3 linked regions of the Arabidopsis thaliana genome follow. The protein of the gene in region 3 interacts with the protein of the main gene of each other region in a biochemical or structural test. Each region holds a gene or a part of one and is shown on either strand. Other genes may lie near its edges.

What was found.
Region 1: of the proteins of RGLG2 (region 3) and ERF53, one has a biochemical effect on the other in vitro, tested with the Arabidopsis thaliana proteins (one study listed by BioGRID).
Region 2: of the proteins of RGLG2 (region 3) and UBC35, one has a biochemical effect on the other in vitro, tested with the Arabidopsis thaliana proteins (one study listed by BioGRID).

The regions. Positions count from the first base shown.
Region 1 is NC_003071.7:8,983,991-8,987,802, forward strand, and holds ERF53 (Integrase-type DNA-binding superfamily protein), read left to right. Parts: upstream 1-1,968; 5' UTR 1,969-2,062; coding exon 2,063-3,073; 3' UTR 3,074-3,312; downstream 3,313-3,812. Other genes in the region: photosystem II reaction center PSB29 protein, read left to right, coding at 3,793-3,812. UniProt on the Arabidopsis thaliana protein: Transcriptional activator involved in abiotic stress tolerance. Can directly regulate stress-related gene expression by binding to the DNA sequence 5'-[AG]CCGAC-3' (DRE element) of their promoter region.
Region 2 is NC_003070.9:29,648,392-29,653,111, forward strand, and holds UBC35 (ubiquitin-conjugating enzyme 35), read left to right. Parts: upstream 1-1,984; 5' UTR 1,985-2,197; coding exon 2,198-2,233; intron 2,234-2,331; coding exon 2,332-2,359; exon of another isoform or gene 2,360-2,537; coding exon 2,538-2,624; coding exon of another isoform or gene 2,625-2,627; intron 2,628-2,924; coding exon 2,925-2,983; intron 2,984-3,256; coding exon 3,257-3,298; intron 3,299-3,380; coding exon 3,381-3,454; coding exon of another isoform or gene 3,455-3,467; exon of another isoform or gene 3,468-3,557; coding exon 3,558-3,655; intron 3,656-3,774; coding exon 3,775-3,812; 3' UTR 3,813-4,220; downstream 4,221-4,720. Other genes in the region: AT1G78880 (Ubiquitin-specific protease family C19-related protein), read right to left, coding at 4,677-4,720. UniProt on the Arabidopsis thaliana protein: Catalyzes the synthesis of non-canonical poly-ubiquitin chains that are linked through 'Lys-63'. This type of poly-ubiquitination does not lead to protein degradation by the proteasome. Mediates transcriptional activation of target genes.
Region 3 is NC_003076.8:4,647,610-4,653,460, reverse strand, and holds RGLG2 (RING domain ligase2), read left to right. Parts: upstream 1-2,018; 5' UTR 2,019-2,318; intron 2,319-2,584; exon of another isoform or gene 2,585-2,833; 5' UTR 2,834-2,897; coding exon 2,898-3,221; intron 3,222-3,351; coding exon 3,352-3,436; intron 3,437-3,520; coding exon 3,521-3,775; intron 3,776-3,857; coding exon 3,858-3,955; intron 3,956-4,031; coding exon 4,032-4,111; intron 4,112-4,208; coding exon 4,209-4,314; intron 4,315-4,381; coding exon 4,382-4,509; intron 4,510-4,590; coding exon 4,591-4,783; intron 4,784-4,878; coding exon 4,879-4,935; intron 4,936-5,025; coding exon 5,026-5,106; 3' UTR 5,107-5,350; downstream 5,351-5,851. Other genes in the region: AT5G14430 (S-adenosyl-L-methionine-dependent methyltransferases superfamily protein), read right to left, coding at 127-369. UniProt on the Arabidopsis thaliana protein: E3 ubiquitin-protein ligase that mediates the formation of 'Lys-63'-linked ubiquitin chains. Regulates apical dominance by acting on the auxin transport proteins abundance.

The DNA.
Region 1 (3,812 bases), on a different chromosome or scaffold from region 3:
GGGCTTGTGTTTTAAAATCGATAATATAATAGAGTTAATTACACATGAGGTTATTAATGATTTAAATACTGATTATACTGAAATTGCACAATTGTTTTGAAAATGATAGTATGTTCTATACTTGACATCTCAATATTTTGACACTACTACACTTTAAGCGATTAATGAAAAAATATTAAAGTTTCAATCAACTTTGCACACAAAAAAAAGTTTCAATCAACATTTGAAGAGTGTCGAACATGCACCTCACCAATCACATTACACTATAACTTTTCTACACCTTTCTTTGGGATGCTAAATTTCAATGAAAATTTTCTTATTAAGTTTCTATTTGCTAAAGGGGGCAGAAACATCAAAGGTCAAATGATTTAGTTACCAAAGTCAACGGCTTAACATCATAAAATCATCTTCTAGGAATCAATGTCCCTTTGAGTAGCCTTCATAGTATAATCTTCAAAACTTTGGCAAGTTAATATATAAATATGAAGCACTCATAATATAACTGGTATAAGATAATGGTTTGGGATTTGACATTCGTTGCATTCTTAATCAATCTAATCGTTTTCTCAAACTGCTGCCAATAAATTTAAAAGAAGAGAAAAACTTATTAAGTAGAATGATGGACCACGTTAAAATATCTTAATAAGAATACTACATAAAATACTAATGGATAGTGTATAAGTTTAATTGGAATAGCAAGTTTTATGATTGGAGAGATAGAGCATAGAGAGATAATGAAAGTGGAGAGAGCTGACCCATTCATTCACCGACTTTTTAAGCTTTAAGCTGTTGACTTTTTCTTCTAACACGAACCTTTTCCCTTGTCTTTGTTTTCTTTTTGTTTTGTTTTGTTTTGGAGTTTGTTTATCTTTATCTGCCGAAAGTTTAAGACTTCAGCCTCCCACCTTGGCACCTCCTTGCGTCCACGTCATCTTAATATGTACCAAGGTTTCTAAGTTCTTCATGTCAATAGACATTATAACATATTTGGAATCCATATTATGCAAGGAGACATCGGTTTTACTAATGCGAATTGAGGGGCTTGTATAAAATCGGTCTGCTTCAGAAAACATTCCATTTTTCAACCCTTGAAAGTCCATTCAGTTTACCATCCAAGAGTTTTTCCTTGTTGTGAATGATAAGAAAATCCATAACATTTATCTAATTTTATCGTATTGGAAAAATAATTTAATATTTCTGAATACATTTATTAAAAATATAGTTAAAAACGATGTATTTTTAGCGTTTTATAATTATTTAGCATTATTTAGATGTTTTCGTTATTTTGTTATTACATCATTTTAATTATTATTCATGTGACTTGAAATTAATTACTTTTTAAGGTCGAATCTTTTTTTACGCCTGCCTTTACACTTCTTATTAGAAGGTTATGTATCGAAACAGCCATCCAAAATTTAAATAAATTCTAAAAGAAGTTATATATATTATGAATGTATGGTGATACTGACATGGGTAGGGTACATTCTTTTTCTATTGAGTTAGTTGATACGTTAAGTTGGATGAGATATAACTTATACTATCATATAAGCTTTTTTTAATTTGTGTGTTTCAAGTTTGGTCGGTTTTGTTTATGTCTTTTGTAGGTGGGGTATACAGAAAAATAAGAGAAAAAAAAACAAAGTCAAAGCTGACTTTGACGACAAATCGCTAACCTTCGAGAGATGATGATAACAAGCCTAATTAAAATACACGTTACGTCGCAATCAATTGCTTCAATCTCATTCTCATTGCATGTCATCCTTAGCCGCGGTTAGCCGACCATACTATCAACGATGTGCATACTATCAACAATGTATTTGTAATAATTAAGTAGAAAAATAAAGAATGTTCCACCGTCCAAAAGAAACACAAGTACGGTCCTGAGAGGGCTTGAGATATTTTGCTTAGTGATATATGTCAACATCTTAGTTAAGCCCCACCGGTTCTGATATAAAAGTGGGGAAAATATTTCATAACCACACAACAAATCTCTCTGTTTCTCCCGCTCTTGCTCTGTTTTCTCAAAGACAAAAGAGGACATCGTCGTTGACTCCTCTTCTCTATGGCTACTGCTAAGAACAAGGGAAAATCAATCAGGGTCCTTGGTACCAGTGAAGCAGAGAAAAAGGATGAGATGGAGTTGGAGGAGGAGTTCCAGTTTAGTAGCGGCAAGTATAAAGATTCGGGTCCTGGCTCGGACATGTGGTTAGGAGATGCTTCCTCTACGTCTCCAAGAAGTCTTAGGAAGACTAGAACCTTTGACCGACATAATCCCTATCTCGTATCTTCTTATGCTACTCCTCAGCCGCCAACAACAACTACATGCTCTGTCTCTTTTCCCTTTTACCTCCCTCCAGCGATTCAAAATCAACAACGATTTTTACACCCGAATGACCCTTCAGGACAAAGACAGCAACAAATGATCTCGTTTGATCCTCAACAACAGGTGCAACCATATGTTGCACAACAGCAGCAACAACAACAACATCTATTGCAGTACTGGAGAGACATTCTGAAGCTGAGTCCGAGCGGAAGAATGATGATGATGAACATGTTAAGACAAGAAAGCGATCTGCCACTGACGAGGCCACCGGTTCAACCCTTCAGCGCCACCAAGCTATATAGAGGTGTCAGGCAACGCCACTGGGGAAAATGGGTTGCCGAGATCCGTAAGCCACGAAACAGGACACGTCTCTGGCTAGGGACATTCGATACAGCAGAAGAAGCCGCCATGGCCTACGACCGCGAGGCCTTCAAGTTGAGGGGAGAGACCGCTAGGCTCAATTTCCCTGAACTTTTTCTCAATAAACAAGAGCCAACTCCCGTGCATCAGAAACAATGTGAGACGGGGACTACTAGTGAAGACTCAAGCAGAAGAGGAGAGGATGATTCGAGCACGGCATTGGCAGTAGGAGGGGTGAGTGAGGAGACGGGTTGGGCTGAGGCATGGTTCAATGCAATTCCAGAGGAATGGGGACCTGGAAGCCCTCTATGGGATGATTACCACTTTCCCATTTCTAACCATAAGGACGATCTTGACGCCACACAAAACTCTTCTTCTGATACAATTTAGGACCTTTGTTAGAATATAGATATGCTTAGTTGTATGACTGATCTAGCTTGTGTTTTTTTTTTGGGTGGAGACAGTTTTTGTCATCTTCCACATTTTAGATTCTATTTTCGACCATCATTTTTTTCTTGATCGGTGACTATGAATCTAATGGGGTCAATCATTTTCACATATAAAACTTAAGTATTTGGTGTTTGTACTTCATCAGTTCATCTTATTCCATAGAAAGAGAGTGAGAAGTGATCAATAACCCTTTTAACTGAAAAAAAGAAGAAGATCAAAACCTAAATAAGATTTAAGTACATATGTCTAATTCGACGTAAGACATTTTTGGAAACGATCAATGTACTAACGAGTTGAATTCTGATGAATCTTGAGCATGAATAAACGGACTTTGTAGTTTGTACAATTGATAATGAAACAGAGAGCAACATTATGTACATGTGATATATGCTGCATTTATTTATGGGCTTTTATTAGATGGACCGAGCTCTAGCAAAATCCAAAGTAAATGGGCCTAATCCTAACGTGGACAGACAAGGGACACGTGTCACACTACCGACATCTCGTGGAGTTGGATAAGCCACTCGAAAGTCGAAACTCAGAAGATCCAACCAGAGCCATCATCATCCTTCCAATGGCTATTACTTGAGAACTCTTCTGATTAAACATAGCAACAACAACAACTCTTCTTCTCCTCTCTTTCTCACTTCAATTTAGCGATGGCTGCAACTGCAATCTC
Region 2 (4,720 bases), on a different chromosome or scaffold from region 3:
TGTCTTTGATATATTAGATCACTGTTAAAGGTGTGCGACCTGCAACAGAGTGGTCTTTTCCCGATCAAGTTAACATTTAATAACAACGTACAAAATGTATGACATAAAAAAGTGTTTTGACTAACGACTAACAGCGATACGACTAACAGTGGTTCAACTTGTGCTTGGCTTCGACTAACAGACGCTTCGACGAAATGTGAAGTAAAAACAATAATTGTTCAAGTAATATTCATACTTCGCCTAAAACGGTTTTTATATAAGCTTTTTTTAAATAAAGTGTGATTTTTGCACTTGCCTTTAAATGCGGAATTGCGGAAGTGTTTTCAAGTGTTACGAATAACTATGTTTTGACTAAAATGTTAGGAGTAATTTGCCTGACTAGTTTAGGAGTACGTGTTCGTGATTTAATATTGTGTTCAACAGTATAACTAATGTACTTCACTAAGTATGCTTTGTTTAGAAGTATGCTTGGAAATATATGTTTCGACTTTTAAGTAAATTGATCTAGTGTTTTACGTGTGTTCGGATTTAGATATAAGTTTTTTGAGTAAGTGCTTCGACTAAATTTTGGCTAAAGGGATTTTGTTGAATTAATTAAGTGTTAATGTAATTTTAAAGACGTAAGAAAATACACATTTATTAGTCGTGTGTGTATCTTGTTAAATGTGTTTTTTTTTGGTTGAATGGTTCAGTGCTACGACTTTGACTATTTTTTGTTGAAAATAATTTGGTGTTTACTAAGTATGTTTCAACTATTTTAATTTTTTAGTTGTGAGTTTTAATTAAAAGTTCCGCATCATATCTTTTTTTAAGAAAATATTTTTTAGTTACTGAGTGTTTTACTACTAAATGATATAGTGTTTATGAGTGTGTTATTAAAGTAGAATTAAAAAGTTTACACTAGAAAGTGTTTCGAGTGATGAGTATTTCGACTAAAAAGTGCTTCAATTATTATTGATAGTAGTTGATTTTTGGAAAGGATTGAAAACTAACCTGGCGGAAATTGCAATTCATGTTTATGCTTTAGCTCTCTAAGTAGTGGATATTGTTGTTCGCTTGTTGAAGCTTTGTCCTCCTCATCAGAATTAATGATCCCTCGCAAAAAATATTATATCTTGATTAAAAACATTATTAGGACTATTATCAAATAAATAATAACGAAAATAAAAGATTCATGGTTTAAATTAAGGCATTGCACCGTATTCATTTGTCAACATATAAGTTTTAAACGAAGTATCAACAATACGAATAACATAGAAATCAAAATCCAACATGGGTCAAAACAAAGTACTAAGAGCCAAGAAGAGTAATTCCGACTAAAAACACCCAAACAATACAACAAGAAAGAAACTGGAAATTAAAGTACATAGAGACAGAAAGGTAATGTACAAAGGTTTTACATAGACACAGTTTTCGCTTTTCACCGTAAAGTAAAGTACAAAGTAACTCACCGATGATTGGCTGAGTTTTGCCGCCGAAGATGAAGAGAGAATCAGACAACAAGAGACAAAAAGAGAATAGGTTTCTATCTACATGTCTTGGTTTGGATTAGATAATTTAGGAGTAACGAGGACTGTGTTGTGTGTATTACTATATATAGACAAGTTTTCTTTACCGTTGGGTAAAATCACTAACGGATAGTTTTCGAATTCTCAGCTTTTGACGTCATAGTTACCGTTCTGACATCCTCAACGGCTAACTCACAGTGAACCTACTACCTAGTTCGCTACTTTAAAGTCGTATTATTCTTGATGGGCTTTCGAGATCGGCCCAACCCAATGAAATGTTTAAAGTTTTACAAGTCCAATATAAAATGACAAGCTTAATGGATAAACTGGATTTGGTTAAGGTCCATTATAATAAATATGGGCCTCACATATAAATGGCTTTGATGGACCAATAAGCCCGGAAATCTGAGAAAATCTATGTAATATTCGAAAACTGTTGGGAAAAATCAATAAATAAGTAGAACTTTAGGGAGGGTTAGCAATAAACAAAGGTTGCGGGAAAATACGTAAAATAAAAGCTAATATATTATTTGATTCGTCCAGAGTTGAATTTTAAAGATAGAGAAAGGAAATCGAATTAAAATCTTCGTCAGATTCGAGAGACGACGACGACGAACTTGTTGTTCTCGATTATCATCAGCAGCTCCCTTCAAAAACCCTAACTCTCTGAGCTCGATCGACAAGTGATAATGGCCAACAGTAATTTGCCGCGAAGAATCATCAAGGTTTGTTTTCCAATCTCGATTTGATTCCTTGGACAAACTCTACCGATCTCTGTTTCTATCGGAGTCTCTTAACTTTTGTTTTCCTTGCGATCTGATAGGAAACTCAACGTCTGCTCAGTGAACCGGGTAAAAAACTCTTTAATTCGTCCTGCCTTGTTGAGTTATAGTGTTGATTTTGAGATGATAATATCAATTTTGATGGTTGAATTGTGGATCCGAGACGTGACCGTCCATGGAGTTTGGAATTTGGTTGTAGAGTAAGATTTAAATCTGATTATAACTTCGATTGATTTGATTGGTGCAGCTCCCGGTATAAGTGCCTCTCCATCTGAGGATAATATGCGGTATTTCAACGTTATGATTCTTGGTCCTACACAATCACCTTATGAAGGTAGTCAAATAGTCTTCTGATAATCCGAGTATTAGATTTTTTGCTTTGAGAGTACAACATGTTTATGTCAAGCAATGATTGCTAATGCTCTTGTATCTTGTTTGTGACACTAGCTAGTGTTAAGTATAGTCCTGAATATACATACACAACTGTACTTAGTTTTATTATTAACACATTCGATTTGTTCTGTTGCGTACCAGATGCTAAGTTTAAAACTTGTACCTTTTTTCTTTTTCTCCTTTGAATATGCTCTCTCTTAAAATTTTAACTTTTTACTGAGTGATAGATTCCATCTTATAGGAGGAGTTTTCAAGTTGGAGCTCTTTTTGCCTGAAGAATACCCTATGGCAGCTCCCAAGGTAAGTCATTTGACTATAAGTAGTGTCAGCTATAAGAATCTAGTTATTAAGCGAATATATTGGTTTGGTATTTATTTGTACACATACCAAATGGTCTCTGAGATCCATGATTCTGGTTGGATTATGAGTGACGTACATGTAATGTCATATTTCTTGTCATTGTTTCTCTTTTCATATGGATATAGTTCTTGAACGTTTGATTTTTTGTAAATGGTTTGTGTAGAGCATTTCTCTATTCTCTAATGACTCTATTAATGATTTAATCTGTTACAGGTTAGGTTTCTCACAAAGATATACCATCCTAACATTGACAAGGTCTGTTCCAAATCCCTCCTCTTTTTCCTTTGTCATCCACACAACCAAAGACATGCTCCTAAACTTGTGTCTATTTGAGCAGCTTGGAAGAATCTGTCTTGATATTCTCAAGGACAAATGGAGCCCTGCACTACAAATACGAACAGTGCTCTTAAGGTATATGAGCTGATTACATAAGATTATTTCCTGCTAAAAACTATTGGTTTCTTGGAGCTTGACTTCTGCTCCTATTTTATTAACGTGTGCAATCCTTATAAAGTATTCAAGCTCTTCTGAGTGCACCAAACCCAGATGATCCGCTTTCTGAGAACATTGCTAAGCACTGGAAGAGTAATGAGGCAGAAGCTGTGGATACAGGTGATGTGATTTTAACACTGAATTTAAACTTGTTACAATATCTTTCTACTCTTTCTTTCTTTCTTTCTTTCTAAACGTTGTGTTAGTATCTCACATCCTTGTGAACTATATCTGTGCAGCTAAGGAATGGACCCGTCTTTATGCAAGCGGCGCATGATAAATTGGAGGGTGAAAACTGAAAAGATCTCTTTCATCCAAATAACATTACATTTGCTGAAATCTATCTCAACATCAAAGTTATAAGAAAGCTTATATTTTGCTGGTTATTTCCCCCCGCCACTGCTCTGTAATCTCTCTTAATCACACTGTATCATTACTCCTAGGATCAATACTCGTTCTTATATTTGAAGTTCGTCAAAGTCTTTTGAGTAAAAAATATCTATATTTCTCTAGTGTCTAAGCTCTGTAAATTCTAAGTTTCATCAAAATCCATAGGTTACTTACTGATCATTGTTGGAATTTACTTCTTTTACAAATTGGCAGTGATGTAGAGAGAGTTTGTAATTTATATACATTTCCCCGATGAGGTGATTCTGTTGTATTTTTGGAAAGAGTTGATCTCAGGAAGAAACAATAAGGAGGAAATAATAAATACAATCCACATGCAACGGGAACATTCCAAACTAAAAAGATAATCCCCATTACATTAGATCACAAATTAGGTCGAAAAAAGAATAACTAGCAGAGCTTTACAAATTACAAACCATAAGGCAAAGAAGAGTGCCCACAACACAAATTAAGTTGTAGAAAAGAAATCCACATCCATCATCATCATTATCATCCTAATGTAATAATAACTCGATATAAAAAATAAGAAATATTAAAAGAGAGAAGAAAAAGAAAACACTACCATAAACCACCAACCAAAGGAATCATCATCAGTAGAGAGCGAAAAGGCCACCAACCAAGAACACATTTCAGATTTCATGAAAAATATTAATGAAGCCGAAGTGGAGCAGTGAAATTTTCGTCTACCAACCGTGGAAGAAGAAGGAAAAGAAAGACTTCCACTACTACTGCATCAGACAGGAATTGCATCTACGTTCGATGAATCTTCGCATCTCA
Region 3 (5,851 bases):
CAAAATGAGTACAACCACTACATGAGAAACCTAAATTCAACGAGCTAATCTACACAAATCTTAACTTGAACACTAAAAATCTAGACATCTCTACTCAATTCGAAACAAATGATTCGATTCACGAACCGGAACACTTTTAGGAACTTCGAAACGGCTCACTGCAAGCACAATATCTCGATTCCTCAAGGATCCGATTCCGGTGCGAACGCGGTTATTAGATCCATCGAACTCATCGGACTTTCTGGATCCGGGAGCGAACGAAGAGCCGTAGTAGAGGCAAGTCAAGCCGAGTAGAGCGATGAAACCGACGAGAACGTAGGTGAAGAGCTTCGGAGTCGCACGGACTCGCTCAGTTCTGAAGTGTTTCATTCTCAGCGTCTCCGGATCCGGATCTAGATCTGACCCGATACTGAGGACCCGGAAATCTAGCTGCCGATGAAGAGTGGATAGTGTGAGAGCTACAGTAGATTCCCTCGAGGTCGAAGACGACGAAATAGACCAGTGTCGGATTTTACGTGCAAGGGAATATTTGGTTAGCTGTGATCCTCTGTGGCAAGGACTAGGGTTGTTTCTATGCTCCTTAACTAAAACACGCGGTTAAAACTAAATGGGCCTGTAGGTAGCATACATGTGCTTTTAAAGAATAATATTGGGCTTTATATAGTTTCTTATTGGGCTTTATACTTGTGTTTTCGATTTTTAGTTTTTGTATCTTATAGTTGTAACTTTTATATATTTTTATGAAACGGTCAAACACTCGAACACATTCAATTGTAGAAGATAATAAATCATCAATAGATTTCTTTGATTTCAATTCAGTTTTAATGTTCCTATACTATTATGGAAAGTATATGAATAAGTTGACCAAACAAAATGGAGAGTACTTATTAATTACTAGGTTCAGTGAATCTTCTTCAGGTAACATTTGTTTTAATTTTTTTGGTGTAAATGTTAAGAAAATAAATACATTTGTTATTCAACCATGAATATAGTGGTTTGTGTTACATTTATTATTTATATAATGGATATTAAGAATGTCGTGGCGTTCACTAGTCAGTATTACACTTATATAATGCATATTAACATTCGTTATTCTAGTTTACTCCAGTCCATTAGATTCGAAATGCTTTTATGAACTATATAGAGGAACTAATACGATTTTATTCTATAATTATTTGGTTTGAAAGTGCAGTCCACGTATTTCTTGTTTGCTCCTTGAAGGAACTGTCCAAGAAAGAAAAAAAAGAGTAGCATAAATCACGGGTACGAAGTTTCATACTTTAATGTAAGTCCATTTAAGTTTCACGTGTTGTGTCTTGCTCACCGAAGGAAGCAAAAACTTTTATACTGAAATTAAGACAACTTTAGTTAATCAATAATTTGCACACAAGAAGAAAAAAAGGTTAATCAATTATAAGCATGAGTGCATCATGAGCGAGAACTCTCGAGCAAAGAAAAAAGAAGACGAATGGATGATAATTTAAAAGTCAAACTCTCAATATTTGTAGTCTACAAGGTGCAATATTCAACAGTACCTATCGAGTAAATCCGAAAAGGGAAAAAATTGACGTAGTTAAGGAACATTGACAATTTAACCGCACGACGAAGGAAAGATATTGAAGATAGGATAGGATTGTCACGTGGTCGGAAACTTCTGATAACCATCCATTTCATCCCCAAAGGTATTTATTGCATTGTTATTATACTATTAGTATTTGCCCAAATCATACAGAAGAAGTTTTTTTTGTTTGGCAGTCCTATTTATATGATACATCATTTCTAAACTTCTGAGTTGCAATTTTTTAAACTAATTATTGATTATGTTTTCCTTCTTTAAGTATTTTTTATTCATATAATTTACATATGTATAATACAATCCTCTAGATTAAAAATTTGGAATTAAAAAATGTTAGTTTAGTTATTGACTATTTGTACTTTTTAAGAAATGGTCAATTTAAGAATTTCAAGTAATCAAAAGAAATTGTCAATTGATACCATGTTATGACTTTGGATATCGATAATAATATTATAGGGCCAATTGTTGGAAGAGAGAATAAAATGTGGGGTAAAATTAGAAGAAGTTTCCACCATTAGCGTGCTTCACACTTTTTTAAAAACAGAAAAGTGATTAGTCTCCTAATGATTTCATAGAAACAAACCAAATACAACAAACAGAAGAAAAGTGAAATTGCTTTCGAACAAAAGGAGGAAACTTTAAAGGCGAACTCTTTAGTATTCGATCCGCCATTGAAGCTCCTCTGACTCTCTCTCAAAGTACTTCTCTGATTCGTCATTCCTCTGCTTCGTTTAGTTTAAAGGTAGACAACTTTTCCTCTCAATCGAATTGGGTCATTTTCTGATGAATGTCGGGAGATTCAATCTCGAATTAATGTTATTTTTCGATTTTGGGGTAGTCTTTGGTTTGATGAATCAGAGAATGTTTCAGTTCAATTCGGCGAAATTGGAAAGCTCGTAGATTTGTCAGAAACTGGTTTTTGTTTGTTTTACTTATTGTGGGTTAGAGTGTTGGAGTAGGTTTTCGTAATAGGACTTTTATCTTAATCTAGAAGTCACTAAATCGCGTATTGTTGTGGAAAATTACGTGACGTGATTGAATCTCCTTTCTTTATATAAACATCTCTACCAACCTTCGATTTTAAAGAGCGGTGAGATAATTCAACATCTGTCAAAGATAAAGCTTTCACCTTTTCTTAACGAATTAGGTATAGGTAAATTGCATCTTCTAATAATGTCAGAATCTTAAACAAAGTTTCTGCTTTTTTTTTCTGGGGTTTCATGAATATACTCTAAAGGCTAAATCTTTGTTTTGCAGGGTACGGAACTGACCTGAGAGGTTTGATTTGAATCTAAAAAGGTTTAGTTTTTTGTTAAGTTTGATGGGGACAGGGAATTCTAAAGAAAACTGGAGACAGTCATCGTTTAGGTCAACTTCTGCTTCATCAGCATCACCATCTTCATCTTCATGGGCTTCTCAACAAAGTTATCCTCAGTATGGTGCAGAAAGCTATAATTACCCTCCTCCACCTTCTTATGCCCAACCTCCTGAGTATACGCAACCTCCTCCTCCTTTATATAGTACTCAGCCTTACTCTGCTCCGTCTTATTCTGCACCGCCTTCTCAAAGTTATGGTAGTGATAATAAGAAGAGGTTGGAGCGCAAGTATTCGAAAATTTCTGATGATTACTCTTCTTTGGAGCAGGTTAGCTGAGTCTCGCGTTGGTTTTTAGTGGAATCTAGTGTGTGTTCTTTGATGATTACAAAACTTGAAAACTGTAGATTCTCATGGGTTTGACAGAAAAGATTCACATTATGTTCTGTTTTCGTTTTAGGTGACGGAGGCTCTTGCACGGGCGGGTCTAGAATCTTCAAATCTCATCGTTGGTATTGATTTCACTAAGAGTAACGAATGGACAGGTTGGTGAGATTCTAGATTCTGTCTTTGTGTAATGCATCAAATGGTTTCACTCTCAAAATCATACTTTGCTTGTTTGATAACAGGGGCCAGGTCCTTCAATAGGAAAAGCTTACACTTCATAGGCAGTAGTCCCAATCCTTATGAACAAGCGATAACTATCATAGGAAGAACCTTAGCCGCCTTTGACGAGGACAACTTGATTCCATGTTATGGTTTTGGAGATGCATCAACACATGATCAAGACGTGTTCAGTTTCAATTCAGAGGATAGATTCTGTAATGGATTTGAGGAAGTACTTTCCCGGTATAAGGAGATCGTGCCTCAACTTAAGCTTGCAGGTTTATTTCTTTTCCTTATTTGGCCGCATTTTCATGAAATGCTAGCTAAATTCTTAAATGTGAATGTTGAATACTTCTGCAGGGCCAACCTCCTTTGCTCCGATCATCGATATGGCCATGACCATTGTTGAGCAGAGTGGTGGGCAATATCACGTCCTAGTGATAATAGCAGATGGGCAGGTACGAATAAAACCAGTATGATGTTATGAACCTTTGTTTTTGTGTCAAAAGAAGAAACCTCAATGAACCATTTCAGGTTACAAGAAGTGTTGACACGGAAAATGGACAGTTAAGTCCACAAGAACAGAAGACGGTAGATGCGATCGTGCAAGCGAGGTTGGAATATTGTCCAATCTTTTGACATTGTTCTCTCCATTGAAGTTATATCTCTTTTTGGCTGGCTTTTCTGATGTGAACTTTTTCTCTGTGACAGTAAGCTTCCTCTATCAATCGTCTTAGTCGGGGTGGGGGATGGACCTTGGGACATGATGAGGGAATTTGACGATAATATTCCGGCCAGAGCGTTTGATAACTTCCAAGTAAGTTTCTTTCTAGCTAATAACATCGAAGTTAGTTTGGTGTTTTAATCTGATGTTCTGTTTCTAGTTCGTGAACTTCACAGAGATCATGGCAAAGAACAAAGCTCAATCCTTGAAGGAAACAGAGTTTGCCCTTTCTGCTCTCATGGAGATTCCTCAACAATACAAGGCGACAATAGAGCTTAACCTTTTAGGGTAAATCCCCAAACATAATCTTTATCAATTTTCATCCCAAAGTTGTCAACTTTTTCCTTACCCTTTTAACTTTTTCCGCAGAAGAAGAAATGGATATATCCCGGAGAGATTCCCTCTTCCGCCTCCAATGCGCGGTGGATCATCGTCCTACAACAGTCCAAAGCCTTCACGTCTTCCAAGTTTCAAACCGAGTGTTCCTCCTCATCCAACTGAAGGCTATCACGTAAGGTCTAGTCCCGTCCCACCCCCTACAAGCTCTGCTTCTGATAACCAGGTACTTCTAAAATCAGAAATATACTTGGAAATTAATCAGTCTGAAACGTTATTTGAAAAAGTTCAAAACTTGATGTTATTGGATCTTTTGAACAGCTATGTCCGATTTGTTTGAGCAACCCGAAAGACATGGCCTTTGGTTGTGGCCATCAGGTAAAATCGAAACAAACACAATTTCCATCTTCTGCATCTACTTAATCGATCAAAACATCAAACTAACTTGGCTTCTGTTTTTGATACAAGACTTGTTGCGAGTGTGGACCAGATCTTCAAATGTGTCCGATTTGCCGTGCACCAATCCAGACAAGAATAAAGCTCTACTAACAAACAAGTAGACCAGACATCGACGACCCTTCTCTCTCTTTCATCTTCTTTCAACTTCTTTTGGGAATTTAGTTTGAATCTAATCACTGAAATTTCTCCGAGAAAGATCGGATCTTTTGTATAAAGAAAAAAACAATGCTTGTTCGTTTACTCACTTTCCTAACTTCATCTTGTCCCAAAACCTTTGACTTCTTTCTTTCTTTCTATCTTTCTTCTTTGCTTGGAGTAAAAAAATTGTTATTCATGTGCCCATGTCTTTTTTTTTCCTTCTTTCTTTGTTCAAATAAATTTTGATTCTTATAATTTGGTTATTTGAAAATTGAGAAAATCATAAGAAATACATCTACTTTTTCTTTCATATAAAGAGCCTCCGTATTAGCTATACTATACAAATCACATGCTGTCCGAAAAAGTGGTAGCTATATACCTCACAATGGTACAAATCATCTAACCTCGTACCTTACTTCAGTAACAGAGATATATATGTTAGTTCCATGCTAATCCAACTTACGCTAAAAACAATAAACTATTCTATGTGTATTATTGTACCTGAGATTTTAGACCGCATTTCAGTTTTTTAGAAAATAAATATTAGGGGCATTGCATTCTAAATGTAGATTTAATTTGTAGAATGACGGTACCAATTCGTCTAGAGCAAAATATTTCATCATTTTTTTATAAGTATCACATATATTTCAGTGATATCCTCACAGATTTATAGAAAACCATTTATTGTAGGGGGGGG